2 linked regions of the Styela clava genome follow. The protein of the gene in region 1 purifies or fractionates together with the protein of each later gene. This does not show direct contact. Links are inferred from orthologs where the notes say so. Each region holds a gene or a part of one and is shown on either strand. Other genes may lie near its edges. The genes, in order: nucleosome assembly protein 1-like 1 and histone H2B type 2-F-like.

Region 1 (18,135 bases):
TACCTTCAGGTGGACTGAAAAAGTTGAAAAATGAATCGTTTGAGATTTGTTTGCTGACAGTACGAACAGTTCCTCTTCCCTTATGCTTTTGTTTCTTTTTGATAGTTTTAACCGTCACATTCTTCCCCTTTTTCCAATCTATTTTACACCTGTATATATTCAAGCAAACCTTTCGGACTGAAAATAGTCTTAACAAATTAAGATTTAATAGACATGACAAAACCATTTCATCCATCCATCACCCATTTGGGCTTGCATGTTAGTATCGTAATTGAACTTGAGTATCAAAAGGGTTAACTTCACACCTGGCAACTTTGAAAAAAGATTCGAGTACATGGTGACTCAAAAAAAACAGAAACCAAAAAATCCTTTATTAACACTTGAACTTCTGTTTCTGTATGATTGATTGTACCTAAAACCTTGCACAAAAGTTCACAGTCTCTCTAGAATATGTTCCAAATGATCTGGGTTGTTTTGTTAGATCACTCTGTTTCACAAGAATTATTCTACAACTAACTCAAAAAAATATCATCGCATGGGCAGACAGAGATCAGATTATTTGATTTGAGAAATCTTTCAGTAGAAATGTATGCCTGCGGGCAGATACAAAGCGTATAAAGCAAAATTATTCTGACCAGCAGTTAAATGAAAAATAGTACTATGATAAAAATTTGCATTACCCAGTGCAACTTGTTATTTCAGGTCCATCAAATGTGAAAGGATCTTTATCATCAGGCTGAGCACGTAATTTGTATAGTTTTTTCAATGAAGTGTTGGTGAAGTAGTCATTTGGTTCAAATAAGAACTCCAGAGTGAAAGCCTGTTAAACAAAATTCAATCAGTTAACAATCCACCGATTATATATCGATTTTTGGGTTGATCAGTAGGCCTATGCTATCTAATCGCTCCCGATCGCAGGATGATTTTCGTCGAGAAGCCAAGAAGATTATAAATTACCTTCACGATTGTCACTAACCACTAAAGATATGAGAGAATTTTATTGAATACAACGTGGCACCCACAGGTAAATTTTGAGAAATCGGCTGTTGCACACAAGAGTGTTGAGCAGTTTGAATAATTAGATGTTTAATTCAGGAATTAATAAAGTAATTATATTGATGAGACTGCAAAAAAACATGGGGCCAAAAATAACGAAAGCCTACCTATCCGAAAGATTGTCATTGTCAAGCCATACTGCCATCGACGATGCCTACTCACCATATGTTCATTCAGCTCTGAAAAACTAACTCTGATGTCTTTCAGTGATTTCAAAATAGGCTCATCATGATCTTGTATCATATCCTGGAGAACATCAGTACTTTTAAATATTGTCAACCAGAATTCTGGGATTCCTTTAATATCTGTAATCATAGTAAAATTGGAATGAACTATTTTAGACATTCAACTTAAATAATTAAAACAATCAAAGTGAAGCCTAGTCCTAACTTAAAACCAACTTGATGACACATATGAAGTAACATTAACTAAATAAGCACAATAACATGCCTAAGAATATGCAGATCAGGTAGGAAGTAGGTAGGAAGAAACTGAAAAACAGCTATACTTGATCTTAATGTTGTTTAACTCATTCTAAATTAGTGTCTGACCGACCAGAACAGACAGGACACCAAACACTATAATTAACGGTTGATTTGATAGCAAAATCGAATTTTAGTCCGCAAAGACATACCATCTATGATCTCCTCATCTCCATTTACTTTGTCTTCAACTGCTTTCTGTTTGAAATAAAATAAAATTATTTGTAATGGAAGAAATAAATAGACAACTAACAGTCAATTGGCTAACATTATACACATGCAGTATTACTAAAAAGTATATATATATTGCCAGAGAGAACACAAAGTCGCAGGCATATATCACATGATAACCAAGTTCGGTAACATTCTCAATCAAATGAAAGGTTGATGCTAATTGATTCCGGACAAATATTTCAAAAGAGAAGTTCCAGGACACTCAACATAAGTTTATTTCAAAGGAGAAATGAATTGTCTGAGAGTAATGTTTATGTAATTCAAGAAACATTACGCAATTACCAAGTAAATGTATTATTAGTCATGGAGTTGTTGGTTGGTAGAATTTCCAAATTTTAGGATTGAAGAGTTTGATATTTCACAAGCGGGTACTCTGTCTACATACATGCTTTTGACACAAACCTCTCCAGGGAATTTAAAATTTATTTTCTGCCTAAATCCCCAGAGTATTGTATATTAACAATAACTGAACACGTCAGATTCATATTTGAATACAAAGTGACATTCACTACATCATTTCCAAACCCGCCTGTCTGATTGAATTGGACAACTCAAAAGTGTAGGATGGACATCGAGGGCTGGGAAAGATTCTTATGAAGTAAAAAAAACGAAGCAGTTCAGTTCACCCTTGTGAATTCTTAAAATGGATCTGTTTTGGTTAAAAAAGAATTGTACACCAATAATGAACAAAATATTGATTTTATCAGTGGAACTTTTTCAATTCCATTTTCCAGTGTCGCCTAAAACTGTTACACAAGAACTACCCCAAATGCTAAAATTTATCAAATTAAAATTGAAAGTTTTAGCAAAAATATTGAAGGGTTGGATAATGCAAAAAATATTATATTCAAAATAGTTTCATCATATGATTTGCATAATGGTTTACCAAAATCCAAGGAAAAAAAATTATACAAAATTATGAAAAAAGCACCAATATGGTCATTATACCAAACAAAATCAATGTCATACATTCAAGCATTTATACTATCAAACTTTATTTTCAAACAATATACCTATATCTATTCCAAGAGATAAAAATGAGAATCAGTGAATCATTGGGATGGTTTTAATCAACTGTAGCCATTCAAAAGTTGACATAAACAATTTTAAATAATTTCTTGAGGAATTTGCATTTTAGCAATTGTTTATAGAACAGCCTGACAAAGTTCAGCCCATTTACATAATATTCCCAACTTTCTACATCATTTAACAAAGATGATTTTATTTTGTTAATTTGTATGATTGTATGATTTGTCTTTATTTAGCTTATTAATAATCAGTGACAACATTTATACATATAACTAAATTCCATACTGTTTCTTCTAAAATGGAATGTTTCTCAGCTTCGTATGTATCTGTAATGTACAGTTTATGGTGGTATGTGATGATAACTGATAAGTTACATGATTTCATATAAGTGGGTACAGATCTACCATTTATTTAGCAACCAAACCAACATAGTGTCACTGTCAGGTTAACGTTAGTCACATCTCACATAATTAAGGATTATTTTTATGCAAGATAAACACATAATTTACGGTTAGCAGATTCTTGTCACGAGTTTCTGATTGTTATTCAAACTGGTAAGCAATTAAAGACAAAAATTACTTTTCTGGAAACCATACAGTAGAAATAATTATTACTTTTGAACATCGAGAACCCAACATGATATACAATCTCAAGACCATAAAAGAATACTATACTTGCATATAAGCCTAGTTTAAAACTAAAAAAATGAGTTGCTCATTCGCGCCTAACTTTGATCACTTAAACAAAATGACATTATGCTAACTGAATACCAACAGCTACAACTCGAACCATGCTAAGTTCTCACAACAAGAGCGTGCGATTTGTAGGGTCGGCTTATATATGTGAATTTTTATAAATTCAACATATAGTGCCTCTTTTTAGGGGGTCGGCTTTTATGCCAGATCTGCGTAGATGCGAAGATATACGGTATATATGTTCAGTGGCGCAACCAGCGGGGAGGGGGGGTTACGGGGGTCGTGTCCCCCCCGTTTGAAATTCGTTTTTATTTTATTATTGTTCTACGTTCAAACAACGTGAAAACTACTTTTTTCCAGTGTCTTATCACCTCGACGTAATTTAACACCGCCCGACTTCAATCATACCTTTTTGCTGTTAGTTATGTAATAATCGCTATCCCCGCGTATATGTTTGTATTCGAATATGAGATATGTTACCTCAAAACTGAACGATGTTGTCATCAACGCCGGATGCCGACGAAATCCGCGATAGATATTAAATACTATTTGAGAGCTATTTTATACGCGCTAAATTACAAGAAATGAAAAAATTTCCTGTTATGTTCGGTCACTATCGAAACTGAGGATAAAAACAACTAATTAAGACACAATTTGCCGAGGACGCCTAAACCATCTCGACTAAGTTAAAATACACGATAAGAAAATATTTTCAATCAAAAACGTCCTCGAAATCTTATAAGTTCTTCAAGTTGGCGTTTATCGAAATTCTTTCACGTCAGCTGTAATATAGTGCCGAACCACACATGGACGACAACGCTAGGATATGTGCGCCATATTCAGGATTATTATAAACACGAAAAAACAGTATTTGAAGTTTGCGATATTAGAATTTAAATTCGATTTGGACATGCCTGCATTAAATTAGTCAGTTTTTAGTCGTTTTCCTAAAATTAGTTGTAAATCAATTATTTTAATTGTCATTATATCTTCTAGTGAGCTTCAGTTTAGTTTAGAATTTTTCTGGAGTTAGGGTCGGGGAAAGGTCCATTCGCAAGAAGTGCATTTTGTTTTTAGTCTTGACGAATTCACCCAACGAGCAAGTCGCGACACGAGGGAAACACTGGAATTTATTCAAGCCGTGTTTCACTATCCACGAGGCGCAAAGCGAGGGAAACGTTGAAAATAATTAACAGCTTTTCGTTAGCAATTCGCTGGAATGTAATGAACGGCATTTTGCTACCCACGAGGTGCAAGACATAGCGAAGCGCCGTTAATGAACGAGTGCAAGGTAAGCGAAAGGCTGGGATTTTATCGATGGTGTTTCCCTTTTAACCACGAGCAATTTATCGTGTTTCAGCGGGGCGACACCTAGTGGCGTTGCGACTTACGTCGTGGTTGCACTGTGTAAATTTCAGTCGGAACCCCCCGTTGAAAACCAGGGTAGATTGCCTCAAACAAATACAGATAAATGACAGAATAAAAAACACAAAGAATGTTCTGGCTTGATGATGACGATGACCATCCTAATCCTATAGGTTATAACCCATAAGTCGACTGCATAGAAATGGCATGAACTTGATCAATTTCAGTGTTGAGAGATGAGTGGATAGTGAAGCTGATTTCAGCATTTCTGATTACCAATTGATTCCAATGGTTTTGAATGTATTATATCACTAATTATCAAACTTATATATCGACATTGAACATTTGTTAATAATATCCAATTAGCAAAAAATTGTAATATGAAAATAATATCTTGTATTGCGATATAAAATATTGTTGCTCTCACCTCTTCATTTTTATTTTTCTTATTTTCTTTAGTATTTTCGTCTTCTTCTTCATCCTCACTATGCCACTCACACTCTGAATCAGTCGGCTCAATTTCTCCCTGAATAATGTCTCTCCTCTGAAAAGGTCAAATGATTGGAAAAACATTTAATTGAAAACAACTGTAATGTACATGACAACTGTCTATAAAAGAGATTCCTAACATCTGCTTATTTAGCAGCCCACGATAGGATGACATCGTTTGGAGTCTTACAACAATAACGACAGTTCTATTATTGACGTATAATAACAAGTGGCTTCCTGCAATGAGTTAAGTAGTGTTATAGTAAACTGTATATAATACTATATATAATATAATATATGATACTAATCTCCACTATTTAGGAATTAGATAATGGAAACATGATTATTTTAATAATAGTCCAATCTTCCAAACAGCATTTAATGAGGTGTTTATAAAAGTATTTTCGATTACAAACATACACTGAGTGAATTATATATTAGAATATTAGATTTGTTTTGAACAAACCTGCACTATTTATAAGCCAAACTACAAAAAAAAAAATAATTCAATGGAATTGTTACCTTTTTTATAGAAAACATTTATATTAGTACCTGATCAAAAAGCAATTATATTTTATCCGTGGTTTAAATATCTCTAAGTTCATAACCAATCGAAAATTTTCAAATTGAAATTTTTAATAAAATAGAATCAAGCAAACAAATATGGAACAAATTAGGTGGGCTATGCCAATGCAAAATCTCTGCAATGCAAACTTCTGAACTATCTTGAATCTTTTCATTTTGCAAGGAGTTCATATAAACAAAAAAAAACTTACCCTATCAAATAATGGTGCATAAATCGCCATATATTTTCTTTCTAATTCATGGACTTCCTCAAAAAATTTTGATTCAATATTCATTGACTTGACTTGAAGATTTTTCAAGGCATGTATCCGTCTTTTCACTACTTTAGGGAGGCTGAAAAATTACAGCAAAATGAAATTAAAATAACTGAAATGAAAATTTTTCCAATGATTGGAATGTAGGCTATGTAATAAACCTATTTATTTTATCAAATTTATATTCTACAATGGCCTACAAGAATATAAAGAAATTAAATGCTCTTGAAAATTCAGCACCCCAAAACACAGCACAGCAATTTTAATAGAAGTGCATAGGTAGCAAAACATTTCCGATGGCAACTAACTGAAGCATCGGTCCTTTGATACCTCGCAACACAAATTGCAAACATACATACATTCGAATACATTGAAAAGTAGATATACCCCGATTCTTTGAAAAAAGCATCTTTCCAGGGTCATTTACACTTTTTAACATACCGTACCTTTCAATATATCCTGATGAATTTCCAACCATATCTTCGATTCGATTTTGTAAAGCAGCTAAAACCTGTGGATTCTGCATCATCTCTGCGGTTATTTGACTTGCTGAAAAAAAAATACAAAACATGCCAAATTATGATAAACTTTATGAGAAGTATAAAATTGAAAATATGCTTTCCGATGATTCCTTTTTAAATGTAATTTTTTCTTAATTTTTCATTATTAAAGAAGTTGAAGATGACGGGGATGATATGGGATAAATCAACCAAGTCCAAGGATATTCATCAGAAAAGCTATATTCCCTTATCTGAACAATTTCAATAATACAGATATTAAACCATTCAACATCAGATTACATTTACAATAAATTTTATCAACTCAACTAACGGTGACAAAGTATTTGTTGAATAGAGGAAAGGTGAAAGCCTGAGCTTATTGGCTTGTAATTAATATTTAAGATCCTTATATCAGACATTTATGGTAAACTTGATGGGGAAAATTCAGAATGAGATCATAATCACAATTATATCAAAATAGCTTTCGTTTTGAAATATTCAGCGAAAGAACAATGGCACCAATTTTCACCCTACAAAGGAGGCGCAGTTCTTATTTATTACCATCAGGGGCAGCCCTGCCATTACAGCCGACATGCCGTGGTTACGGCAGCAAAATTTTATCTGCAGTTGGTTTTCAATTTGCTGCCGTGGTAACAGCAGCTCCCCACTGGTTTGTGGCAGCTACAAAGTCAGTCGCCATGGTTTTGTGGCAGCTTCAGACGCCACGAAATACTTGAAACTGCAATTGCTTCAAAGGCAGCTTTTAAGGAACAATCAAAATTCATATCCTTCGGGACATACACTTTAAAACACAACATAAAATTTCAGTGTCATTTTCAACAATGATTTACATATTTACCTGAAGGCATCGACTGTGGCGTTTCATCTGCATTCAAAGTAGCTGATTCATCATCAACTTCTGTCTCCGGTTTTTCCTCATCGTGTTCCACAACATCTTTATCAGATGTTTTCGCATCTCCTGATGACATGTTGTTGTAAATATTTTATGAACTATGAACTATCAAAACCAGCAAAAGCTATTTCTGTATTTACATAATATAAAGTTTGAAAAACATTATTACATGTGTTAGAGATTCTGTGAAGTAATAGTTTGATCACTAAATCTAATTAACACTTGCCACTTATCTTTTTGCAAAATTTGCTGTGCAGGCCTGCACAACATACGGCCCCCGGGCCGCATACGACCCGCTAGATACTTCTGTGCAGCCCACGGTTGATTTGGAAACACGCCACTTCTCTGGTCTAACAATCAAAATCGGCATTGTTATGCAAGCGCACCGCTACTCTGATCATATTCGAAATCGTGAGAATTATGTTTTGCACTAGTTTCAATAAATATCAAACTTTGTGTGAAATTGGTGTGCCCTTCGTGACCCCTAAAATTTGCCGCTCGACCCCTCGCCCCCCAGTTTGGGTAACCCTGATTTAGATATCTCAGTATTCAGATTGAATCACGCTTAAAACAATTTCGGTATACAATCTCAGACCCATTAGAGCATATTAGCAACCTATTAATAAGCCCCCTATTTTTTAATAAGTTTATGAAACTGAAGTTTCTTTTTTGATTCAAATTAAAAACTTGAAAAACAATTCCTTCATTTATGAACGGTATAGAAATTCTCGTACAAAAGATTTTGCTATTTACTGTAAAATTTCAAATAAATTGGAGCAGATTTTGTAGAAACATGTAATTTAACAGTCAAAAAAGTACGGGTCTGGTATAGTTTAGTACCACATGTACTTCTAGTTGACCTGGCTCAACAATTTTTGCATATGTCAATCCTAACCCCCACCTGACTACGTCACCGAAAAATTACGCCATTTCGTCACAGTGCAGCAGTGGCGTAATAAGGCCCACCGAAGTATGCGGATGGTCGTCCGAAACGCGCAGACGATCACCCGAAATCGAGCAATCAATTTCTCCCGTTTTCTCGTCACAACGATCACAATAGGAGAGAGATCGCCGGCTTTAGCAAGTTCGTTATCGGCGGCGCAGATGTCATTTCGGGCGATCGTAATTATACTTTGGCAATCCCTATGATGTTATGGTGACGTCGTAGTGACGTAATTCTTGGATGGCCCAGTCAGGTGGGGGTTAGGAATAGCATAAGCAAAATTCGTTATGCTATGCCCACCGGAAGTACTTGTGGTACTAAACTATACTAGACCCAAAAGTACAACAGAGGATGATCTATTGCTACTGAACGGATTGTTTGTCTAGCCCAGGGCTACTCAACTATTTTTACCGAAGATCCGCATCCAAAACTGCAAAAATATTTGGGTCCGGTCTTTTCCAGAAATTATATTTCGACATCCTTAAACACACACTTCAGCACTTCCTCTGCAGACTAATGATTATTAACTATTCAAGATTGTTTATTATGGCGTTATACTGGTACCGCCGTACCGGTAGTTCTTTCCATATAGGCCTATATTTAAATCTATAAAAGTTATTTTTTACAAAAGGAAACTTCAAAAGTGGGGCTAATAATCCAAAATGAAGAATTACTGAATTAGGCGTGGTCGAATGACGAATACCCGAAAGGTCCGGATTCAGACCGCCAGTTGAGTAGCCCCGGTCTAGCCTACAATGGAAATATCCAATATTGCAGTAATGGTAGATATTTTTACCGGTACTGTCTCATTACAAATAGAGTCATAGGGCAGCGGACCGAGAATTAAAATTGAATTTATCTTACTGTGGTACCGGTACGTAGCAGTACGCAGTACCGTAGCCTGTGGGTATAGTACGGTGGTATGGTTTGATTGTGTAGGTACGGTACCGGTACCGGTACGTCATTGACTTCCCCTGTTCTCGTAGCTACCACACAACAGTCCTACACTTGATATTTCATGAACAGCGATAAAAACCTCAAAGATTTGTGAATTCTAAAAATGTTCAAAAAAAAATTCGCTTAATAGATTTCGGTACCGGTACGGTAGGTCTACCGTAGTACCCGCACTTGATGCGAACGCCAGGACAAGAACACAAAACAATGAGCAGCATATGGAAATCTACACACAGACTGAGTCTGATATTTGTATTCACCATTACCTGATTGTGCCATGTGTCCTCGCACGCATGTGAAAATCAATGAAGTGTTAATAGCCAGAATATTCTTACACGAATCTAGCAATGTAGATGCCGACCAGGAAAGTCCCCAGTCTTCAATTTCACTGAGAGCAAGAAATCGCGCCAAAAATATACCCTTCTCGTTGCCTATTTTGCACCCCGCCATTCCATTCTCAATCTGTTTCAATTTTTGTTCAATACCTTACTTACTAGGTAGTGTTACTTAGACACAACTCGCACAGTTTGAATCAGGGTTGCCAGATCCCAGCGATCAAAAAAAGCCAAATCAGGACATAAAAAAAGCCAGAAAAAGCCAAAAATTTTACTAAGTACAAAAACCCCATAATTCAGTAATTTGTCAGATTTTAAGCTCTTGGAACAATACTGATGATGATGTAGAGCCATCAGTTCATTCAGTGCGCCACACAATTGTCTTTTCCCATTGAAAGTTGTTTTTTCGGTTGCTATCATGGCGATTTACCCTTCAGCGGGATGAAGGGTTTATAAGTAAAAAGGATTATTTGAACGAAAGAACCAGAATCGACATTCAACACAACACAGTCAAGCTGACATCTATATGAAACAATTTAAAAGAATCAAAAAACCAAATAAAAATAAATATTAAAACGGACAGCATTATTTTACCATTCAATATATACAGATATACAATACAGGGTACCGTTTCAGTATGTGATATACCTACATTTTCGAAATTTTAGAATTTATAAACCATCAATTTTATTAAAAACTATCTAACCACGTGCCGCTTACAGGTGGACTACTAATAGCTAATTCAGTAATTTTTACTGTAGTTAATCACATCGTTCGTGAGACAAAATTTTGATTACTGCAATTTAACTAAAGCTTCACATCAGGCATAATGAAAATTAAGTTATAACACCATTTTTGAAAACGGAACTTAAAACTGACAAACAACACGCAAAACTATAAAAACGAGGCAAGGTTTACAAACCTGCTTGAACATCTGTCTGAGCGGCAGCAGAAACTGCAAGTATTTCTTATTGGGTAGGTATGGTTAAGCGTTAAGGTAATGAACTGGGAAATCGACGCTCGGGGAAAGCCTAATGTTAAGTACCGTACCAGTACCGGTAATAGGCTATTGTTACACACTAAATATTGTATTTCATATGATTTTAATAATAGACACTAGACTGGACTTGAAAAAAGCCAAAAAAAACGCCAAAAAGCCAAACGGAAATTCTGACGCCAAACGTGTTTGAAAAAAGCCAAAAATGGCAAATTTGGCGTTAAAAAAGCCAATCTGGCAACCCTGGTTTGAATAGTTTATAATTACATTTTTCATAATGAACCTTTCCCCGAGCATCGACTTCCTTGTTTACTTCGTGACATTGGCCAACCAGCAAGATGCAAAAAGTGACGTAACAATGCTCCCTTTTCGTATCCGCTCAGACACTTTTCTCACTCAGACAAATTTTCAGGCGTGGTCGTAAACATTACCTCGTTTTCGCGTTTTTGGACACGTTTAGTGGCCACAACGACCGTTTCAATATTATGTTGTTGTTGTTGTTGTTCTTGTTCTTTGACACGTTTTTAAAAAGTCGCTTTTCTCTTCGAATACTGGACCAATTGCTTTGAAATTTTCAGTGGTTAACGATTAATTTTTTCGCTAGAAGGCTGTCACTTTTATTTATTTCAAAATTTTGCGTGAATTCTATGAATTTGATATTTCGTCTAAAATTTTGCTGTATTATTTTTTATCCATGGGAACACGGATTTTAGTCAGTGTCATGACTGGCTGTACGTTTTGATTCTGCAAAATTCTTGCTACTGGAAATTCAGAACTTTTTTGAGGGTACCGGTAGCGTCAAAGGTACCGGTAAGGACTGATTCGCTCTGGTCTAACGTGTCCATATATTTGTGCGTAGCTCTCTTGTTTTAACTCTATTCGTTCGTTTTCAGTTGTGTTTCGGAAATTTAAATATAAATCAGATAATTCATTGATCCCTCCGTCTTCTTAGGAGTTTTAATTTAATTGCAGTAATAAACAAATTAGTGTAGATATAACTGTGATAGGGTAGGCTAAAATTCTTTACCGGTACTTTTAAAAAACAGATTGTTGTATGCCATGAATCATAATGATTGTTCAAAACAAATCCCCCATTTTACAGCGCCAACTCGCGAAACCACTTATAAAATAAGCCCCGAAATTTTTGCAATGATAAAGTATAGGAAGAGTTTTCCGGGGGTCAAAGGTCGGGGAAATACATACTAATGATTGATAATGGAATCAGATTGTTCAATCATGCGATGAATTTTGTGATTTTGATTTTAGTGCACTTCTTTCAACCAAAAAACTTTGTCCCTTTAGACCAGGGGTCACCAAACTGCGGGTCGGATCCGGCCCGCGGCGTCATTTTATCCGGCCCTCCCACAATAACACGCAAAAATGGCTAAATTTTTTACCGATGGAGATTTTCCCCATCATCGTCTTCCTTGTTTATTTCGTAACATTGGCCAATCAGCAAGATGCAAAAAAGTGACGTAATAATAGGTCTTTTCGCATCCTCTCAGACACTTTTGTCACCCTGACAGATTTTCAGTCGTGGTTGTGAACAATACTTCGTTTTTGCGGCTTTGAATGCTATTCCTTAGTTTTTGGTTGTGTTTCGGAAATTGGAGTATGAATCAAATAAGTCAATCATCATTTGCCTCCTTAGGAGTTGTAGTTTTAATAGTATAGTAATGAAAAATTAGTCTAGAAACAGCTGTGACAAAATAGGCTAAAATTCTCTACCGGCACGCAACGTTTTATAAAAAGTTTAAGAAAAAGTTTTATAAAAACGGTCAAGAAATAACGGAGATATCGGAATTTTAGTACCGCCCGACACGCCAATTATTTCCATAAGGATTGTATTACTTTTTTGATAAGAACTGTAATAAATATAAAAAAGAACACTTATCAATCACCAATCTTTCGATGTGCGTCACATCAATGGAATATTGAGACTATTTCAGGATTTTATTCTGGCAACGGTGATTGACACCGCCGAAAGATCGTCGCAAATAAACGCTGGAGTTGTGCATGATAGTTTGACAGTGGTTAATTGTGGGTTATAATTAACGATGTTCTGATTGTACAAACTTCATAAAAATTGGTAAGTATCAAGTTAGGCAAGAAATACACACGTCCATATAAATTTTATTGGTGTCCATAGACAATATCATTAATTTGTACTACGTATAACTGGAGCGTAATTTTTAAAAGCTCCGAATGTTGGAAAATTTATGCGCTAATGGAAAAATTCAAATACCAGATAATAGGTATTTATTTTATCTCAATTATGGAATTCCAAGATACAGCAGGCAATTCGTAGTCATTTTTATGAGCGGTATTCCAACACGGCGTAACGGTAATAGGCAGACGTGTTGCGTACATTTTTTGGCGCGAAAAAGCGGATTTTGTAACATTTCTAATTCATGACAGCAACGTTTTAATAACAGCTAAACTGAGGATAGTTGTCTAGATATAAAAATCTTGTATATTTGTTTTCCTGAGATGTTCTCGATCTTTATTCTGCGATATAGATAGAATTTAATACTCAAGTCTTCAGAAATATATAGTAGAATATATATTGTTGAATGGATTTCCCAACTTTTGTGAATTTATTGTATTGCATTGACAAAAATATTCATCCGGGCCGTTTCAACACAGTTTGAGTCATACCCGGCCCGCGGTCAAAAAAGTTTGGTGACCCCTGCTTTACACATATACAATTCCTTGTGTAGAATCGTAGTAGTATATATTTACGGTAGAATGGATTAAATATTTCACAAATTCATGTATATCAACTTTTGGAACAAAGCTGAGATCTTTTCAAAGAATTTTTTTTATAAAGCTGTAGTTCGAAATAATGTACTATATGGATTTAGACTACTGGGAACAAAACTTTCAAAATAATATATTGAAACCTTTTTGGATTTATTTTAATATTGTCCAATCACCAGGAAATTTTGGTCTCAGATAGACCCATGGATTGCTTTTATGACAGAAAACTTGGATTTTCATCTTGGAATGGAAGAACAAGAATGTCTTATAACAGTGGTCGGTCCGAGGAGTGATATAATCCGGCCCGCGACGATTCACTGAATTATAGTGATAAAACAGCTGTTTGGACGAATATATTCTTTACGTAACCGAATTTATTGTTATTATTTATTGTATTATATTATAACCTAACAAGTATATAATTCACAATTCCTCGTTTAATGAGCTTATAATTTATTTATAAGTAGACAAATGGCAACAAAAAGCAAAAAAAGTTGATGCTAAGTGCAAAGGGTTCAATGGCGCGAAAAATATTCAAATGGAATTTTTTGAGAAGCAATGCAATGAGGAAATAAATCTATAAATCTTGGCTTCATCCAGTAAAATACTGATACACAATAGAAAATGACATTTATTCATATACTCATTGATTATTTGGCTTTAACCTGACAACTGCGTTATTGTTTTTTATTATTATTTATCGTTTATTTATAATCTTTATGTAACATATATATGAAAAATGGGAGATTTTCCTAATTTTTTTTTCATGTTTTTTCGGATATAAGTTGAATTAAAACTGTACTGTTATGTGTGCATTATGAAAAAGAAAATATTCTTATGTTTGTATTATTGATCAATATTATTTATTTCCATATTATTTATTTTATAAAATTCGATAAAAAAATTAAAAAAAAAGTTCACCTTCAAATTCGAGACTATATATATATCTAATACGGTAGTTTAGTATCCATACCATGCTAAAAAAGCGACAGTTATGTAGACGGAAAAACTAGGTGGACATTTTCCTGTCCGCTTAATTATTATTATATATATATATATATAAATTGGGTATTTGATAAATTTGTATGCCACACTTAGGTGGCTAGATAGGTGGACATTTGAGATATCCATTTTGTGTAATGTTTCTATATATAATTTCAGAATTTTGTTTCAATTGTTTTATGCCACACTTAGGTGGTCGGATAGGTGGGCATTTAGGATATACATTTTGTGTAATGTTTCTTAATATAATTTCAGAAATTTGTTTCAATTGTTGTATGCCACACTTAGGTGGTCGGATAGGTGGACATCTAAGATATACATTTTGTGGAATGTTTCTCAATATAATGTCAGAATTTTGTTTCAATTGTTGTATTCCACACATAGGTGGACGTTTAAGATATACATTTTGTGTAATGTTTCTCAATATGATTTCAGAATTTTATTTAAATTTTGTGTATGCCACACTTAGGTGACCGCAGTGGTGAGCTGTAGCCGGAACGCACCGGAACGGCGTTCCGGTTGTTGGACATTTTGCTGCATTTTTTTTTTGAGTTCCTTTTTTTGAAATTATGGTACAAAAAGTCCAGTTTCTCTGGTAATCATAGTTATTAATTTATGTTTTGTTACATCATATTAAGTCTTTGCAAATGCAAATAATTAGTACAGCAGAAACGTGTATTAGATGATTCCCCGACCTTTAACCCCACGAATATTCATTCTATACCTTTTTAATAATAAGATTTGTATTGAATTGCTATGAATACTCTTGTAATTTTACACGAACATGTTTCATATAACTTCTTCACAGTTCATTGCTGTTCTGTAAACGTCCGCGTCATGTTGTGAATATATTACATTTTTGCAAATTAGGTGCGTTCCGGTTGTTACGATTTTTCCAGCTCATCACTGGGTGACCAGATAGGTGGACATTAGAGATATACTTTGTGTAATGTTTCTCAATATGATATCAGAATTTTTATTTTAATTTTCGTATGCCACACTTAAGTGCAGGATAGGTGGACGTGTGGGATATATTTTGTGTAATGTTTCTCAATAATATTTCGGATTTTCGTATGCCAAACTTAACTGGCCGGATAGGTGGACATGTGGGATATATTTTGTGCAATGTTTCTCGATATGTTTCAGAGTATTCATTTTTATTGTTGTATGCCACACTTGGGTGGTCGGATAGGTGGACATTTGAGATATTGTAGCGAATGTGCATTGTGTAACTATGGATTATAATGTATTTAACCCTTTCATATTAATAGCATGTAATATTTCACAAAATAGGCCGCATTATGTTTCGCAACAGCGATAATGCATTCGCTCCCTGTATTGCCTTTCTCGTTTCGACCAATTTGATAACGTATCGTTTCCGGTTTGCCGAGAATGCTCTATAATATTGTGTTTCTTGTTTCACTCGATATATGACTTGTGATCTGACCGTAATCTTACTGCATTAGGAATTCGGTGTATACAATTTTATCTGTATTTGGAATTTGGATCGTGCATCTTTTCAATAATATACAACAATTCGACAATCATCATCGTGTGCTTATTATCGTCTGAGGAAATCCAGATTGGAGTCACATTCCATAACACGTGAAATTAATAACGTGGGAATCGAACTTTGAATATTAGGGTGAACAGTCTTTATCCCTAAGACCGCACTTCGTTTCCCTATAGTATTTTTTGTGTAATGTTTGTCAATAGGATTCAAGATTTTTTTTAATTGTTGTATGCCACACTTAGGTGGCCGGATAGATGGACATTTGAGATATATTTTGTGTAATGTTTCTCAATCGGGCTGGTGTTCATTTTTCAATTACGTGCCACAATTGAGTTACCGGATAAATGAACATTTGAAATCCAATTTGTGTGATGTTTGTCCTCATTAATGACATACCAGAATTCCCTTTTAAATTTTTTTGTATAACTTGAGAGGCCGCATAGGTGGACATTTGAGATAAAGTTTGTGTGATATTTCTTCAATATTATTTGCATTTCCGAATTTCATTCTGCAGAGATATAATTTTTTTTATTATTCCTCAATATTATTAGCATTTGCATATTTTATTTTACTATTATACTCCACACATCCTTCTCAAAATAATATTTCTCACTTTAGCAATTTGGTGACACGTTTGAAATATATTTTGCGTATTGTTTCTCAATATGATTGGCATTTCGAAATTTTGTTTTTTAATTATATGTCACGTTTAATAACTAGTCATATAGATATGCGGGCTTTCGAGATGTATTTTGCGCAATGTTTATCAATATTATTGGAATGCCATAATTTTGTCTTTGTATGTAGCATCTGTTTTATCCATATATTGAACTATAGCGTTGGAATAGGCGAACATTAGTGATAAGCTCTGTGTATTTCTCAGTTTCAAATATATAATACTTCGGATCAATTTGTTTCGCTTTTGTACCTTCACGTTGCATTTTGAGTATTTTTTGACATGGAAGATTATTTTTAACACCAAACACAGTGCATCTCCCTTGTACGACAGACTGAATATTAAAAAAACGCTATTTTCTGTGATAAATATTGCTGAATGGTTCGAATCCATCAGAAATTAAAGCGAGGTCATACACTTTAAAATGTGTAGTACTAACATGAAACATTTACATTTATAGATGCCAAATAAACAATTTGCTATTATTAACAATTTCCGCACATGAATAAGTGTTTGTTTTGCACTAAAAAGTTATTTTCAAAAGCAACATCATTTATGTAGACATTCAGGGTGACATATAAGAGAGGTCCGGCTTAGCGGCGAAATAGGCTAAAATATTTGGAGGTCTGAATTAGGTGGACCAATTGAGCGGACAAAATTTTTATATCTGTTATCGAGAGGATTGTGTTGACTGTTTTTTTCGTAATTGTCAACGGCTCTCGCGCTCTCCGTGCACGTATTTAGAAACAGTGGTACGGACACACGACGACGTCCGCTTATTAAATACTGCAATTATGACAGGTCTGTTTAACTACCGTAATAGAGTTATATATATACTATTAACATATTTATATTGTTTCAATATAATCAAATACCACTTTGCCGCCAACGTTTGCCAGTACTAATGAACCTGCTGCACTCGAAAACCTGTTTGATTTTGACGCAGTATCAGTTTTGCTGCTTGCTTTATATATATATTTGTAGTTTAAACAATTCAGACAATAGAAGACAAATGAACCATCGTACATTCCTCAAGACTCTGCAATTATTCATTAGTGTCCCACACACCAAAAATAAAACCAATGATTTGATAGAGTCATAGGGTTTATTTTTGTTATTACAGATTTGATTGAGAGAGGGGTTCATTTTTTCCCCAACCAGAAAATAAATAAGTGCAGAAAAATACAGGTTTTTAATTTATACAATTCAGTTTACGCAGATATAAGTCTTGCTAGATTGTTGTTTCTGTCTTTACCTAGTCTAATCATCGGAAGACGAGCTATGTATTCGAGTAAGCAAGACGCCGACGGTCGATTGACGAATAACTCGCTTACTTCACAACCATATCAAATG
Region 2 (16,583 bases), on another chromosome or scaffold:
GACCTAAGAAGTCGCAACCGCGAGTTACGCTGCACACAATTAAATTAATATATAAGGACATTTTAGAATCTCGTGGCTCTCATGGATCGACAGAAAAAACATTATACGCTTAAATAGGCGGCTCTTTTAACTAGCGCGTAATCGCGGTGCTTGTTGCAGACGGCAATGGGATGTTCCGACCTCAAATTTGTTATTTTCTGTTTGTTAGCAAAAGCCGTGGGCTAATTCTCGCGGAATTCAAGAAATTGGTTCAGTGACGCGCAAGTTCCGTGTCCGAGCAAAGCAGCCTAGGTAATCGATATATGAGTAGCAAAATGACATGCTAATACTTAGAGAATGACATCGACAGGTTACTGTTACGTGACGATACACGGCGCGGTGTTTTTCGGTAGGCGATCCAATTTCGCCCCCCCAAAATTATGGAAAGTGTCCGCCCCTGTGCCCACCACCTAATGAATTGTTTTTACTACGTTACCTTCTTTTTAATTGCAGCCATTCTTAGTGCAAAATATTCTTGCACACTTATTGTAGAAGTTACATGATTGGTTGCATTATTTTTTGGGGATTCTTTTTCAGTAGTTTTCTTTTTTTTTGATTTCTTCTTTTTCTTGCTTTCTGGGCAGGATGAAGTGCTGTCTGCATCAGATATTTCATCCTACATGAATCAGAAATAAAGATTTCGCGATCAGCAACAACACAAAAAATCAGTGTTTCCAAAATTGATAATATTTTTATGTTTGAAGCGAATTTGATACAAGAGAATTTTCTTTCAGATATAAATATCGAAAATTTTTTAGGTTTTTATCCATTATAGTACACTTACTCTGAATTAAAAAAGCCAAGAAACATATCAATGGCCCAACCCCAATGTTTAAAAAATAATCACCTCTGACAAATTGATAGGTGTAACAGGCTCACTCTTGGATGCTGTTTTTCCAAATATTGCTGCAAGATCAGTCTCTTTGTAATTGGAAAGGTCTTTACCTAGAAAATAACAACAATCCAGTGTGAAAATGGTGTGATAAAATGGATAGTCTATGCCGAACTGGGAAGATTAATTTCCTTTCAAATAATAGTAGCTACTTAAATATCCCGAGATATCAGGGCCTTGTTTTGGGGCAAAAGGCACGTTTATGACACTTGAAAATTAGCTGATATATTATTCTTCTCTATTTTTACCATACCTCTTGCAAATTTGTGATAATGTACTCTCTTTTGTGATTTAGATTTCTTTTCAAGGCTGGAGACACCTGTGGAATAAACAAAAATGATGTATATATATAGGGACGATATAATATAACGATCTTATCAGCTTCTATTCTTCTTGACAAAAATAAGAAAATCTAACTTATTCTAGTACTTTATAGATTACCTCTATCACTATTTTGGCTAGCAAAGTTAATTTTAAAACTTGTAGCAAAGGTGAAATGGGTAGCAATGCATTGTGTGGCATGCGACCTTGGATGTTTTGCAAATTTTTTTCTGCCTTCATATTACAGCAAACAAATTACTGGTTAACTTGATCACATTGTTTTAATAGGAAGGCACATTAGTACAAGTTGCATAGAAAATGTTTGAAATAGAAATTTTTAATAATAAAAATGACCTGTTTTGTAACATATCATGATATACGAATATACTTCAATTTTATGCGAAAATGGAAGATTTCGAAGTGTTATTGTGAAAAGTGATCTTGTTTGATCAACATAGATTTTTGAATACAACAAAATGGTGTAAACAAAACTCATAAATGATATCAAATTTATAGTTGGTCATGAAGCAAGACTGCAATACATTCATTTTTTTCTGATTTTTTTTATCCCATCTTCAAATTGCCATACAAGTATTGAGGCAAAGTGATTGTTATTTATAGTACATAATCTCAAAAATATGAATAAATAATTAAGTTCTCGAATATACCATTCATGTTTTTCACGTCAGTTTGATCGGAGTGATGATTGTTCAATTGTGCTAGTAAATCTGCAAAGTCATCCTGATGAGCAACCCAATTTTGCTGTCAAATAGGAATTCAAATGAAATATTCAAAATATAACTATTAAACATTATAGGGGTTCAATTATTGTATTAGCTTTCCGGAGAAAGATATAAACATGTGATTTGGTGATCTACTAGTCTGAATATAAGTTACCTAAACCTTCATCCTGGGACTGGCACCCTCCGCAGTGACTAACTACTCTAATTTTAACTATAAAATGAATGAAATTGTGAACCCACTTCTTGCTTTATCGAACATCCAACTCCACGATTATCATTTTTATGTTTAATTTTAATGTGTGCGATTCTCCCATCTTCATTCGCTCCCAGTCCCTGAAATATTTGGGAGCAAAGTAAAGAAAATGCTATTCATTACAGAAGATTGCAGAATTATATCATTCTATGATGATACTAATACGGGTCTTACTACTTACTGAATACAGCGCGAAACACCGCAAAGAGCGCAAAACAGCGCAAAATAGCGCGAAGCAGCGCAAAACAGAGGAAACCAGCGCGAAACAGAAGGAAACCAGCGCAAAACAGAAGGAAACCAGCGCAAAACAGAGGGAAACAGCGCAAAAAAGGAGACGCAGTCATTACCACCTCCTGCCACGAAAGAACCACGGCGCCTCTCGCCATGGTTTTATGGCGCTATTTCCGGCATATTTACAAGGTTATGTACCGGATTATAGGTCATCATGCGAAATTTTATCTACCTTTTTGGTGCTCCAGAAGTATGTGCAATATGTCGCACAACCAGAATCCGCTACACACACACACACACACATACAATTTCAGGTTGTGCGCCATCTTGGTGCACATACTTCTGGAGGTCCCCTTTTACCTAACCCTAACCCTAAAGCCAACCATATCCATATGGAAAATGTTCTAAATTATGGTACCCAAAATGTGTCACCAGCAGGGGCATACCTGCCATTACAGCATTACTGACTACATACGTTGGTTTGTGATTTTAATTTGCTGCCGTGGTACTCCAACTCAAAACAAGGTGCCCCGAACTCATTGCAAAATTTTTTTCTGCTTCACACTGTTTCCCTCTATTTCGCGCTGTTTTGCGCGGTTTCCACACTGTTTTCCTTTGTTTTGCGCTGTTTCGCGCTCTTTGCGGTGTTTCGCGCTGTATTCAGTAAGTACAGAAGTAGTAAGACCGTACTAATACTGCTGTTTGCATTTTCATCATTTTTGCAATAATACACAAAAAACTATTAAAAGTTGAACCAATGAAGTTAGATAATGGTAATGGAGTAAAAGGAAAATTGTTGATTTGATTCACTCAATAAAGGTCTCATCGAATTCTAGCACTGGTATTTACTATCGACGGCTATCCATCACTTTACACAAAATACACCTTCAAAACCAATTATCTATTTATGGTGGCATTATCACTGAGTCAATACGATAGTACTGTACCTATAGTACGGTACCGGTAACGATATGGCATATTCTAGTGCTGTAGTGCTGGTTGAAGTCAAAAAAATTATTAAATTTGTATACACAAAAATCATGAAATTGCAGAAAGAAAGATAAGCAGTTGACTGTGACCATACGGTACCGTACCTTGCCTTTGGTCCAACCCATTCTTTCAAGCATTTTCACACCAAATTTGTTTTCGTCTTTTGACCAGTTTGTGCCATTTGGGTCTATTGACCACTTTTTCTTATCTCGACCTGAAATATAAAAATATGTTAGAACGTTTAGAAGTTCAACTAGCCAAGACTACAATACACAAATCAAACAAATGCTGCATTTCATTTTCAAAAACTGGTTCTCCTCCAAGGTAAATCCTTACTGTACCTGTACCTACGGCACTGACTTAATTAAGTATATTTAACTAGGTCAAATGCTGGTACCCGGTACGCCGTTGTTTCAGTGTTTGTTTGTAGCCAACGCTAGAAATGAACATCACATGAAATTTTCGCTGAATAGCAAAAATCTACTTACTTTCTGCAAGCATTGACATGTTGTGAATCCCTGTCAGTCCTTTCGCTTGTTACAATCAACAACGCCGAAAACTAGGTAAAACGGACTATTTCGTGGACGTCCGCGCTTGCCAGCATGTGGTCATTGACTGTGCAGCGCTTCACATGTGGTTCGAGTCGTTTTCCGGTTACCTAGCATATTTGAAATCTGATGGTCTTGTTCGATTATGTGACTTTTATTATTATTATGATGATGCCTTCAGACACAATAAATTAGTGGAAATCATAAAAACGATCATTAAGTCAGCAGAGTTGGAACAATTACATTAATTCAGTTCAATTACAATTATTTACTCCCTTAAATGTTTCAATTACATTACAATTCCTCTGTGCAAAAAATATCAAATTACATTTACAATTATAACATTTTGGTTCGTATTCACATTTTCACTTGCTCAAAAACTGTCTGATTGCGCTTGATGAAGATTAGACAGCAAAAAGTTTCTGACCCCAATAAATTTCTTCTTGCCGTATAAAAGTTAAAAAAAACTCGTACTGACGAGGCTGCTGTTGCTGTTAGTCCCAAATAATTCTTGGCTAAAGAAGCAAGCGTGGGAAATTCTTCTTATTTATTTTCCAATACATTAATGAGTCTTCATCAAATTGCAGATTTTTTTCTCCCAAATATCTATCTACTTCACTTGATTTCCTTGGTCTTTTCTTTTTAAATCTTCTGCCATCGCTGAGAAGAAGTAGTCTAAAAAAATGACTTGTTAGGTGGTTGGCTATGATCAACCTTAGCCTTCATCGTGTTTTTCTGGTGTTTTCTTTTGAAATTCATATATTTAGGATATAGATGGGGATAACATCTCTTCAAGTGCGTGATCAAGTTTGACGAGCTTTGGTTGAGAACTTAACTTTCTTTTTGCAGTGATTACAGCATGCCTCAGTGCTGCTCAAAGATTTAAAAAAAAACTGACATTGGTGCAGGAAATGGTTCAACACAGATTTCGGAAGAGTTTGTTTGATGTTCATCTTTTCTTAAAATACCAAGATTTAGTCTATTTGAAAGTGTAATTGAGCCGAAATTTGAGCAAATTACAGTTACAATTACACAGAATGAAAATGCCTCCATTACATTACAATTACATGAAAAACTGTAATTAATTACATCAATTACAACTGATCCAACTCTGTAAGTCAGTTCGCTGAGTTGTCATAAACAAAGAGAAACATGTTTCATCCCCCGTGTTTCCCCGAAAATAAGATAGGGTCTTATTACAATTTTCTTTCGAAATATAACACTAGAGCTTATTTTTTATCAAAAACAAAATCACAAAGTAGAGAATTACGAGATTTCCCAATATACAATTGAAAACCAATATTCATTTACCTATAAATTACACGTTTTAGATAATCAACGTGTAGGGAAGATTCTTGTTGAGGACTAGGTCGAAAAAAAAATCGCGCCATCGACTAGGTCTCTCTCTAGGAGGGTTTATTTTCGGGGAAACATGGTAACTCGCTAGGAGGCGGGGGGCATGTCCGAATTGCACTTTAAAAATGCACGAGATGCAAGTCTGGGCGTGTTCCGAACCGACCGGAGGATAAATTGAAAGAAAAAAAAACGACGATCAAAACGTTCTGACGGGACATGGCATCGCAAAAAAATTGAGAAGGATTCACCTCTACCTTTGACGGAAAAAAACAAGATGGCGACGATTAGAAATGCCCAATCCTAATAGCAACGATAAAAGTAATACTGAGTACTGACAATGATAATAAAGAGGCATTGGAATTTCCATCGCTAGTAGGTATAAATGGTTAAAGTGATACATCCGCTAACCGTCCTGGCATAGGTGTCTTGATATTTATTTTTGCGGATCCGCTTACAATGGAAACATCTCGTTAAGTTTTGGGTGGCTCTAAAAAGAGCCGTTGTGATTGGCAAAACTTATAACAGCTTATTTGGAGCTGGTGTACTTTGTCACGGCCTTGGTTCCCTCAGAAACTGCGTGTTTTGCAAGTTCACCGGGAAGAAGCAAGCGAACTGCGGTTTGCACTTCGCGACTGCTGATGGTACGCCTTTTGTTGTAATGCGCAAGTCGAGAGGCCTCGCCACAGATTCTTTCGAACAGGTCGTTTACGAAAGAATTCATGATGTTCATGCTTCTCCTGGAGATGCCGGTGTCTGGGTGAACCTGCTTCAGAACTTTGTAGATGTAAATGCCGAAGCTTTCTTTGCGCTTCCTTCGAGCTTTCCTGGCATCCTTTTTGGCATTGACTTGTTTCACAACCTTCTTTGCTCCTTTTGTGGGGGCCATTTCCGCTATACGTGTTTGTATAATCAAAAACGAAGTATGACGGTAATCGGAGACATGCCTTATTTATAGGCTTTGGTATGCAAATTAGGGGTATTCTGAAGATTTGCTGAACTTTTCCCCGGGTGGTTTACGCGGCCGATAGTAGTCTTCGCCCACGCACATCTACCTTGAATGTTGTTCTTGATAAATATTTTTTTCAGGTTCGCGAGACATAGATTATTTCGATCACTCTATTTGTTACACATAAGATAAAATATAGAGATTTCTAGTTGTCAAGCCAAACCTCGCATCGAGTTCACTTACAAACACAAAAAACGCATGTAAACTATAAAGGATCAAATATCATAACAATGAAAAATACACGAAGATATCGTTTGGGCTGTTGTACATTAGAAACTTCATAACTAATAAGTTAAATTTTATCAATTAGCATCGTTATGTTTCCAGTTTTGGTTAGAATTGTTCAGCCTGCAGACGAGCACATCTAAAATATGCGTACAACTCGCATATAACTTTAATGAACTAAGACCATCGCACCAACTTAATCCAGAACCCTTGGCTGCTTATTTAAATTTTAAAATAAATCCGAAACTAAGCCAGTCAACCATTATGATATAATCTAAAGTTTTCATGTTCTACACTTTTGTTTGAAAAACTGTAAATAATAATATTGACTCTAGGAATTACAGTTCGAGGTTCAAGTATCAGTTGGGCTATAAGCAGTGGTGGGATTCAGCCGGTTCGCACCGTTTCTATAGAACCGTCTCACGGAATTTTATGAGATCAGCATACCGGTTAGCATTATTTAAAAAAACATGTAACAGAACCGGCCGAAAAATATGATTTTTGTGATGGAACCGGCTGACAAAAAATTTGAATCCCACCACTGGCTATAAGTTATAAAAAATAACCGACTTAAAAAAATTATAGTGTAGAATAGAGATGTACCGAGACCACTTTTGTCGCCGATACCGATCCGATACCAGCTAAAAAGGCCGATACTGATACGCCGATATTCAAAAACGACCGATATTCCGATATTATGTAACTATTAGGCTACCTCAAGTGTAATTTTTACCTTTCAGCCTTATTAATAGTGCACATTATTTCGGATCAAAAAAGAGTAATATATATATTTATATACATATCACACACATTAAGTAGTATTAAGAAGTAGATGTTTGAGATCCAAATGCGTTAATTGATTCAGATGCACTGGCGCTAGTAATCTCAGTGTTCAAATAGATTTATTAGAAAACTAATAGAATTTGGCTAATGTTGGTGGTAAAACAAATAAATGTTCAGCCTACTTACCGTATGAAACTGATACATTGAGTTACATGCGCAGGAAGGATTTTGTGCCAATATAACGTCATATTTTATATTTTAAATATTGGAGCATGCACTAATATTCGATCGATATATTTTTTCATAATTACCATGTAATATTAAAAATTTTGATATAAAAATTTGGCAGTGAAATTACTAAAATTGATTGAGCCAGTTTTGCTAATAAATGGCTAAAAACAGGTCAAAATCCGATTCCCGTTTCTACTAGCCGGGGTGGGGACGTGCATGGCTCATAGTTCACGACCTATCCAAGCAAAAAATAATTTCAAGATTAGTATTTTAACCTATTTTTTAAAACATTCTGGATCATATTATTGAGAAGCTAAATATATCGGAAATATCGGTCTAAATGTAGCCGATACCGATGCACTACCGAAAAATTGGCCGATACATCTCTAGTGTAAAATCGCGTGTCAGCAAATATCAATCCACGCGAGACTTAAAACAGCAGTTCTTACCAGTATGACATGAAAACAACTAGGAAGAGAAACTTAGCGCATAACTTCTCTGGGTCTGGCCAAAGCGTATATATAATATGAATTACTGTTCAAAAAAGCAACAAACCTGGTTAAAATATATTCAGGACTCACTTCATAACAAAATTAAAATTGTAAAGACTGTTACGTCACGATCCACAGGATCCAAGTATTATTGTTTGGCAATAATATTGTTGCCACGTGTAGGCGCTGTTAAGTCGAGTTCGCCGCCATTAATGGATATTGCACCATACTTTGCTGCTGTTTTGCTGCCAAGTCAAGTTTTTAAAGTTTCTTTGTGTTGGTATTATTGTGATTTAATTATTGCTGTTTATTGTGTTTATCTTGTAGATGACTTAGACATCTAAATTAGTTAGTAAGTGGATCTATTGGGTTGTTGCCCTTGGTGTTAAGATATTGAGCCGTACATTTGTTACTGTGAAGAAATTGTACTGATGTTTCCAGAATGTATTATGCAATGATTTTTGGGTAAGAATGCTAGTACTTTAAGTTGCATAATTTGAAGTTCACTGATGTATGTGTTTTCTTACCCGGTGTCATAAATATTATCGGTATGTTATTTATATTTGGATCATTGCTGAATTTGGTATTATTTAGTTTTATAAGTGTTCTAAGACATATTATTTTGTTTTAGAAAACCGTCTTCCATCTTTCATTTCCGTCTATTGTGATGTTTGTGTATTGCTGAGCATTTCATGTTATGCTTCGAATTACAATTTCATTACAAGTTTTCAACAATTGGTTGTGTTTGGACAAGGATTTGGGAGATGCGTTTTCGATTTGTTAGTTTTTCCTATGTGACGCCTTGTGCTACCGGGTCACGTTGAAAGGGAGGTTACAAAGACTTTATGGATACTGTGTATTAAAATTTTCCGCGACGCCCTAAGCGCGACTCTTATCGGGTCTTACGATCAAAAACGGCATTGTTATGCGTGCGCGCCGCTCCTCTGATCCGATGTATTCTATCGAAATCGTGACATTTATGTTTCGCCTTAATTTTTTAATTGTGGTTCGCATCAAAAGTCTAAAAAAGTACAATATATATGATACTTTGTGTGAAACTAGTGTACTCCTTGCGACGCCTAAAATTTATGGAAGCCATGAGTGCTAAAAGCCTCTGGAGGGAACCACGGGCTATAAAAGGTTTGGAACCACTGCTATACACAGTTAGGGTACGCTTCTTGTGGGGCAATCGGAATCATCTCGCACTATTCGTGTACCACCTGCTCAGGGAATTTTAACAAGTATATCGCGCTCATCTCCATTAGTTTTAAACTGTGAAATTGGCGATCAAGCGTTTCCATGCTACTTATTTCAACCTCTCGCGACATCCAAATGCATAATTCATGCGTAAATGCCCAGTTTCAAAGCCATTGCTGGGTCTGGCGAAGTAAACGCCGTAATTTCTAAGACGCCAAATAAAAATCTGATGCGAAAGGAGAGCCGAGTAAATACGGCGTGTAACGTTACTTCTTTTGGAGAGCAGACTACTGGTATTAATAGGCAGGCAATATCAATCATTGTTGTTCCAAAAATCGGATTAACAGCTTGTTAGATTGTGAGTGGCTCTGAAAAGAGCCGTTGTAATTGATAATCAGGTTTCTGTTTACTTGGAGCTGGTGTACTTTGTCACCGCCTTGGTTCCCTCCGAAACGGCGTGTTTTGCAAGTTCACCGGGAAGAAGCAGGCGAACTGCAGTTTGTACCTCGCGACTGCTGATGGTACGCCTCTTATTGTAATGTGCAAGTCGAGAAGCCTCGCCAGAGATTCTTTCGAACAAGTCGTTAACGAAAGAATTCATGATGTTCATGCTTCTCCTGGAGATGCCGGTGTCTGGGTGCACCTGCTTCAGAACTTTGTAGATGTAAATACCAAAGCTTTCCTTGCGCTTTCTGCGGTATTTCCTGGTGTCCTTCTTGTTAGGGACCTGCTTCGCGACCCTCTTTGCTCCCTTTGTCGGTGCCATCGTAGTTCCTCGTGTTTGTAATATGTGAGACGAAGTGTGCTGGGTCAGGTTGACTTAGGATATTTATCCCATTAAATATGCAAATTAGATGAATGAATTGATGTCGATACTGCGCGAACTGCTATAGTTCATGACGTAACAATATACACGAATCCGTTAACCAATCGTATCGTAGCAGACGTGAACAAATAGCGCAGTGTAAATATTAAATTGGAAGTCTTCTAAGCAGACCTAAACGAAGTGGCCAAGGTAGTGTACATAATAAATTAAAAGTTTCCTCATACGTATTACTTTTTCATACATACTCTTTATCCGTTTCCGCAATGCACTATAATTCACGGATGGCGAACTGCTGACGAGCGGTTCCGAAAGCCGTGTGAAAAAAGTATCGCAAAATGTACTAACATTTCAGTAAGGTAATTATCAGTGAACGTTTATAATAAGGTCGGCAATTTAACGTTGTTTCCACGTTTATGTCATAACACCACAATCGGATTGTTTATTTACAGGTTAGCATATATTTGCGTCTGCTGTTCCAGTTTAAAACAGCACTTTCTTTCGGAGACGGATGAACCAGCAGAAGGTTTCAGGGAGTATCCATTATTGTACTCCTTAAAATTTTGTAAAAACTTCACAAACTAAGTTCGAACGACAGTAACGGAAAGTTAAGTTCATGCGTCTAGTCCGATCGTATCGCGTGCGCTGTGTTCACGTCCAAATCAAATACTACCATCTTCTTTTAATCGTATTTCAGTAACTTAAGATAGTACACGTAGAATGCTAATTCGTTCCTGCGCGTGTTACCTTGAATCGTTTCAAGTATTCAAGAAAAAAATTGATAGCGGCCTTGACTGATGAAACAACATACAGATCAAACATTTCTTATCTTCCGTGACCGTGAACTTGCCTTAAGGATGACAGATCAAACAATGACTATAAAAAGCTACCTTCCATAACAAATTAAATACAGTATATATCGGTATTTTCTAAATGAGATAACAGTAACGATTTCATAGCAATAAACAATGAGGGCAACGTCTTACAGTTTGACGTAAATGGGTTATGTAACGTGTCTTCCAACGTTACGCAACGAACCGCAAACGACGTGATGTATTTTTAAGCTCTTATCTTGAAACCTAAGTAAATAGTCGTGTATATAGTGTCTTGAATTTTATGTAATATACGGAAGAACAAAAGTTCGGATTGGGAGGGGTTGTATAGGTATAAATGCAAGTTTCTCTTATTAACGATCAGAAACTTTTTAATCTGGAAACGACGTAAAAACCATCTTGAAACAGAATTTTGTATTTATAAAAATAATTACTAATGGTGAAGAACCAACGTTGCATTTTAAAATATATCTAATCACTTCAGTTACATAATCACGCTGAATCAACCAAAAACATTACAATTGCTTTGAACATTTAAAGTATATATCATGAATTTCTTTTTAGAAAAACCGATAACAGATACAAACAAATTTTTGATTTAAACCATATTTGATCGTTATGGTAATTTAAATCTGTAATTGTTCATGCTGGATTATTTGACTCATCAACAATAATAACGTTCAATAAATCTCGTAACATTAAAAAATATGTATCGGCGATTAAAGGTAATTTCAGTGGCGCCAATAATTTCGCAAAGCATTTTTGCGGCCCGCGTCGTGGTTGATATTTTTCCAGAAAAAAAACTAGAATAGTATGATGTCAACTATGAGTTTCATCGTGTTATTTAACATCAAGAGTCCGGTACAACAAACTGCTAGAACTAAAACAAAAATTCCCCCGTCATTCCAATTTACCACGTTCATCTTTTATTCTATTGTAATAATTAAAGGACCTCCTGATTAAATTCTAAATTCAATCATTTCATTTCGCGTTTTTATTATGACGAAATAAACAAGTTTCGGTCAGATCATGGAAGTGTACAGTAGTGAATCATTTGTTGATTATGAATCATATGTGCAGTTAACGCAAAACTAGATTATTATAGTCTTATGGATCATTACACATGGAAAAATACTATGTTTATACTGAAACTATTCGTCACAAAAAGTTGTTTCATGTCTCGCTTGCTGTAAGATTCAAGGGTAATTTCAACAAATATATTCAGATTTACTTTGTTAATTTTTGTATAACAATTTTGGAACCTCCTAAAGTATGCGCATCAAGATGGCGCACAACCTAAACATAGCATGTGTGTACCGGTCAGGATTCAGGTTGTGCGACATCCTGGTGCGCATACTCCTGGGGCACCCAATTTTGTATATAATTTGATAGTTTTGCGGCCCACGTCGTCAATAAATTTCAAGAAGTGGCCCGCGACATATTTTGAGTTGGGTACCCCTGGTTCACGGCATCAATAACATTAATGATAAGGCTTATACATTTCAAAGCATTCTAATACGATTTAGATACGCCAGATAAAGTTGAGTCGTATTCTTCAGATATAAATCATAAGTTTTTTGGGTGGTTATATTTTTGACCGAATTAACTCAATCAACAACAGGAGTATTGACCTCAAGTTTGTGGTTTGACGTAAATTGGTTATATAATAAGAAATGTTACGCAAGGTTCGTTTTCATTGACCAACTTTCTGTAATCAAACCTTGTTTATGTTTTCTGCATAAAGTATATAATTCTATTTCCTATCGCTTGACGATCAATGAAAGTGCAAGATGGCGACCAGAGTTTCAAATAAGGTCGTCGAATTTGAAAATTTTATCTTTTTCCTAAGTTTTGAGAAAACACATCAAAAGAAAGTAAGCTAACCGGTTATATCGGGATCTATAGATTCTATAGTATTTATACACTGTATAAAACAAATATGTATCTTTGTTATGTGCGGGGTAGTGAGAGGTAGGAAATCGGAGCAAACTTATTAAAATTGCCGCGAAAATATAAATTGTCGAGAAACATGGGAATACATATTTTTTTTTTCATACGCACGCTGAAAATGTAAAAAAAAGAAAAATATTTTAACATTGAAATAAAAAAAAATAAGGCAATAACAAAAACATACTTCACCTAATAAACCGATGAATAAACTTTTGACGACAGGTCATGTATCACCTCATTGTTAACTTATTGTGACAAGTTCCGATTGAAAATTTGCATACGCGTATAATATGGCATTACGCCACAACAATAGGCACGTTATTGGACTTGTAAATTGTGCCTAATGATATGTATAACTTAAGGTTGGCTCACGACTTAATACGCAAAGAAGATTATAGACGTGATTTCTGTTATGAATACAGTTTTCTTCAAACGTGGATACAGATTGACACGTTTCATAATAGATTGCACAATAGAGATTGGATGACGTATAAGGACGGAAGAATACCGTATATAAACTATGATATATTTGTCTGTTTTTGATTCACAGTACTTGATAGACGTTTCCACTCGTGAATTGGGTCATACAATAAATATCTCATCGAAGGTCAGCACGTTCCAACAAAAATGTTATTTAGAGTTCCGACTAAACTTTATGTTCGAGGATAGGAGATATATCTGACCAACACCCTCGCTGGGAGCCGACTATAAGTCATGAGAAGTATTCCATCATTATTGCTTCAATAGCATCTCTATCAAATAGGAACATATATTTCGTATGGCCAGATCGTTGGTGTATAAAATTATATTTTTCGCATCTAGATCATTTCCGGCTTTTAGAGATACCATATATATTTCATATTACCTACGACCAGTAAGTGAATTTTGTGACGATTCTATACATATTTTACTTTACAGATTAATTTAATGTTAATGAAAATCAATTTCAAGGTCACACCTTGTTATGAAATAAAGTATTTCAAGATTTTGTTTGCTGTATGAAATTATTAAACATTGTATTAAAATCTTATGCAGGGTTTCCATCAAGATTGGGACAACTTGTAAATATGTAATTAAGTGAATTTACTGATTTTTCTGCAGTGTGTGTAATATCACGTGGCATGTTGCATAAAACGCATTGTTATGTATAAATCGTGTATGTCGATTAAAGACAGTGGACGACCTCGTGAGATTAATTGAAATATCAGTCGCGAAAGTATAAACATTACGGACTATATAACCACGTTTAGTAATCAAAAACCTGTCTAACAATTCGTACAATGCCGGGCTGTTGACTTGTTTTCTTGGCTTAGTAAAAAACGAACCAAGTTCACATGTGAACATCTGTTTTTTTCGAATAATATGTTCTTTTGCTATACAAGCATACGCTTTCCAAATCTCAGTATTCGTATAGACATACAACTGTTTGAGTTTTCAGAAATTAGTAAGGATTTATTTCTTAAATTAAGATAAGTAAAAGTAGCATAACCTAATTCAAGGTCTACTCAGATGAGGATGCAAGGAATTTAATCTAATTAATAGCAACAGCCAAGTTTTAGGAAAATAATATGCAAGAAGAAACTTGTTGGGTAGCAGTTTTTCGAGAACAAAATTTTACGTCAATGTAGATTCGACTTAGATTTAGAATTTTCGTAAAATTGATTGCAAGTCGTCGGTGTGGCGCTTCCTGCTAAGCGTTACTAACACTCTCGATACCGCGTCGCTGATTTCCCCGCGTGGTTCCGATCCCGTTTGGGATAACTAGCTACGAGAGGATTGTTGGACTCCTCGCCGTAGGGTGGTATGTTCGCGTAACCGCTGGTCGGTCACGGCTTCCTGCCTTATCATGTCCATGCATCTGAAACAAATTACTGGCCAACTAGTCCTATACCGGTCATGGACTTGTAACCGGGCAAGAAGCCGTGGTTTGCCATAGGATTGAACCGTCTGACCGGTCCTGCCCTCTCCTGGAATAATTATTTAAATCTTATGTATATTCAAGTTCTGAGCGGACGATTTTTTCCGAGAACGCATTATCGTCGCTCTCTACACCAATTCCGCATTCGCGCAAAAATCCGTTCCCGCAAACGTATATTTTGGTAAACGTCAATCAAGCAGAAACAGCAACCCACGCTTACCAACTAAGCACCAGTCAATGTGTGCGAACGAAGCCGGAGGAATGGTCATATGACGAGCCGATGGGTTATGAATTGTAATCTGTAGCGACGTTGTGTAAATTGAGACAGAAAATACATTAAACAATCTGTCCCAAGCTCTCTTTTTGGCTTTTTAAAATAAAAAATAAATTAAATTAAATTTTGCGAGCAATAAGAAAAGGGTGACGCGAAATTCTCCAACCATATTAATATAAATTACAGCATAACGTACAGCGTTAACAATATTACTCATGAGTATTTTCTCTGCTTATTGCATTTTAGTGGTAGCTATGCTCTGAGATGATATTTTCCCTTTTAATTCAGCTCGTGTGACCTTGCTTGGAGCAATATTCGACAAAATGTCCCAAATTATAATCTTACACACGTTGCTTCTAAAAACAAAGCTGGCATGAAACGAATACATCCCTACTGCACAATGTTTTGCAGTTGGAAATTATATTCAAAAATGTCCTAAGGAAGGCATACGCGAAGCCGTTGTTCAGCAACAACCAATGTGGTATATAACCCGCAATTCGGGTTTATGAGCAAAATACCAAAGAAATGCCGTTATATGAACTGATAACCTTCGCCGATGGGGTCAATACTATCTGAGTTTAAATATCTATTTCCGAATTCTTATTCTCCCTATAATAAAGAGAGAGCCAGAGTTCTGGGAGTCACGTGTTAGCGCATGCGCCTTGAGTACAATCAGTGGAAATTTTGAAACTCTTTTTTCATTGGCAATATTGCCTTGTAATGCTTCAAGCTCTGCACTAACCGGTATTGCTGTGTTTGTAGGTTGGCCATAGTTATGAGTGGTTACCTTCTTAGCATTTCAGTCGTCGCTTGTATTTTCACTCTGGGGCGAGATTTCTTTGCAATTGAGTAACTGCGCATGACCTATGTTGAATCAAATTCCATAGTACCAATTAAAATTGAATCTAGCCCTGGAGATGATACACTTTTACACTGAAAAATGTATTTCCGTGGAAATTTTTTTTTTTAACAATGAAAAAATTAAAAGGATTATGTCTAATATTTATCATTTTAATAGAGGAGTTGACAGAGGATAGGAGGGCAAAGCTTTATTATGCATAAATGTTATTGTATAAGTGATTGCACAACAATGCACAATTTGTTTTCAATATATCATTAGCTCTCACCAATTTTCTTTTTATTTTCATTTTTGTGTACGTGACCTGTCAAATATGCCATACGTATAGCCAGACCGGCTATCTTCCGCATTTCAATGCCTTCGGGGCTACGCATCGACGCCTTTAAACAAATATCCTGACATTCGATGAAGCACGTTATTTCCGAGAAGGACGGTGATATTATCGGACGCTTCACGCGAAATTGCGTAAGTATGATCTATTTTATTGCATTTCAACGTCATATTTTATTGAGCTTTATAATTTTATTATATTTTATATTGGAGTTTTATCTATATAGTTCTGGAGATACAATCATTTAACATACATGTTGGTTTTTGAAGTATTTTCGAAGTTTCGGAAT

Evidence for each region.
Region 2: the proteins of nucleosome assembly protein 1-like 1 (region 1) and histone H2B type 2-F-like fractionate together in Drosophila melanogaster (co-fractionation; 4 studies listed by BioGRID, with this or other methods). This does not show direct contact. The link is inferred for Styela clava from reciprocal best matches to the Drosophila melanogaster genes Nap1 and His2B:CG17949.

Annotation. Positions count from the first base shown.
Region 1 is NC_135257.1:688,191-706,325, reverse strand, and holds the start of nucleosome assembly protein 1-like 1, read right to left. Parts: upstream 7,734-18,135; 5' UTR 7,679-7,733; coding exon 7,549-7,678; intron 6,739-7,548; coding exon 6,636-6,738; intron 6,269-6,635; coding exon 6,127-6,268; intron 5,406-6,126; coding exon 5,289-5,405; intron 1,737-5,288; coding exon 1,691-1,736; intron 1,362-1,690; coding exon 1,219-1,361; intron 821-1,218; coding exon 681-820; intron 150-680; coding exon 4-149; intron 1-3.
Region 2 is NC_135264.1:9,946,715-9,963,297, reverse strand, and holds histone H2B type 2-F-like, read right to left. Parts: upstream 6,451-16,583; 5' UTR 6,260-6,450; coding exon 5,900-6,259; 3' UTR 4,831-5,899; downstream 1-4,830. Other genes in the region: PIN2/TERF1-interacting telomerase inhibitor 1-like, read right to left, coding at 476-655, 887-984, 1,185-1,250, 1,921-2,014, 2,236-2,328, 3,574-3,683, 3,958-3,976. UniProt on the Drosophila melanogaster protein: Core component of nucleosome. Nucleosomes wrap and compact DNA into chromatin, limiting DNA accessibility to the cellular machineries which require DNA as a template.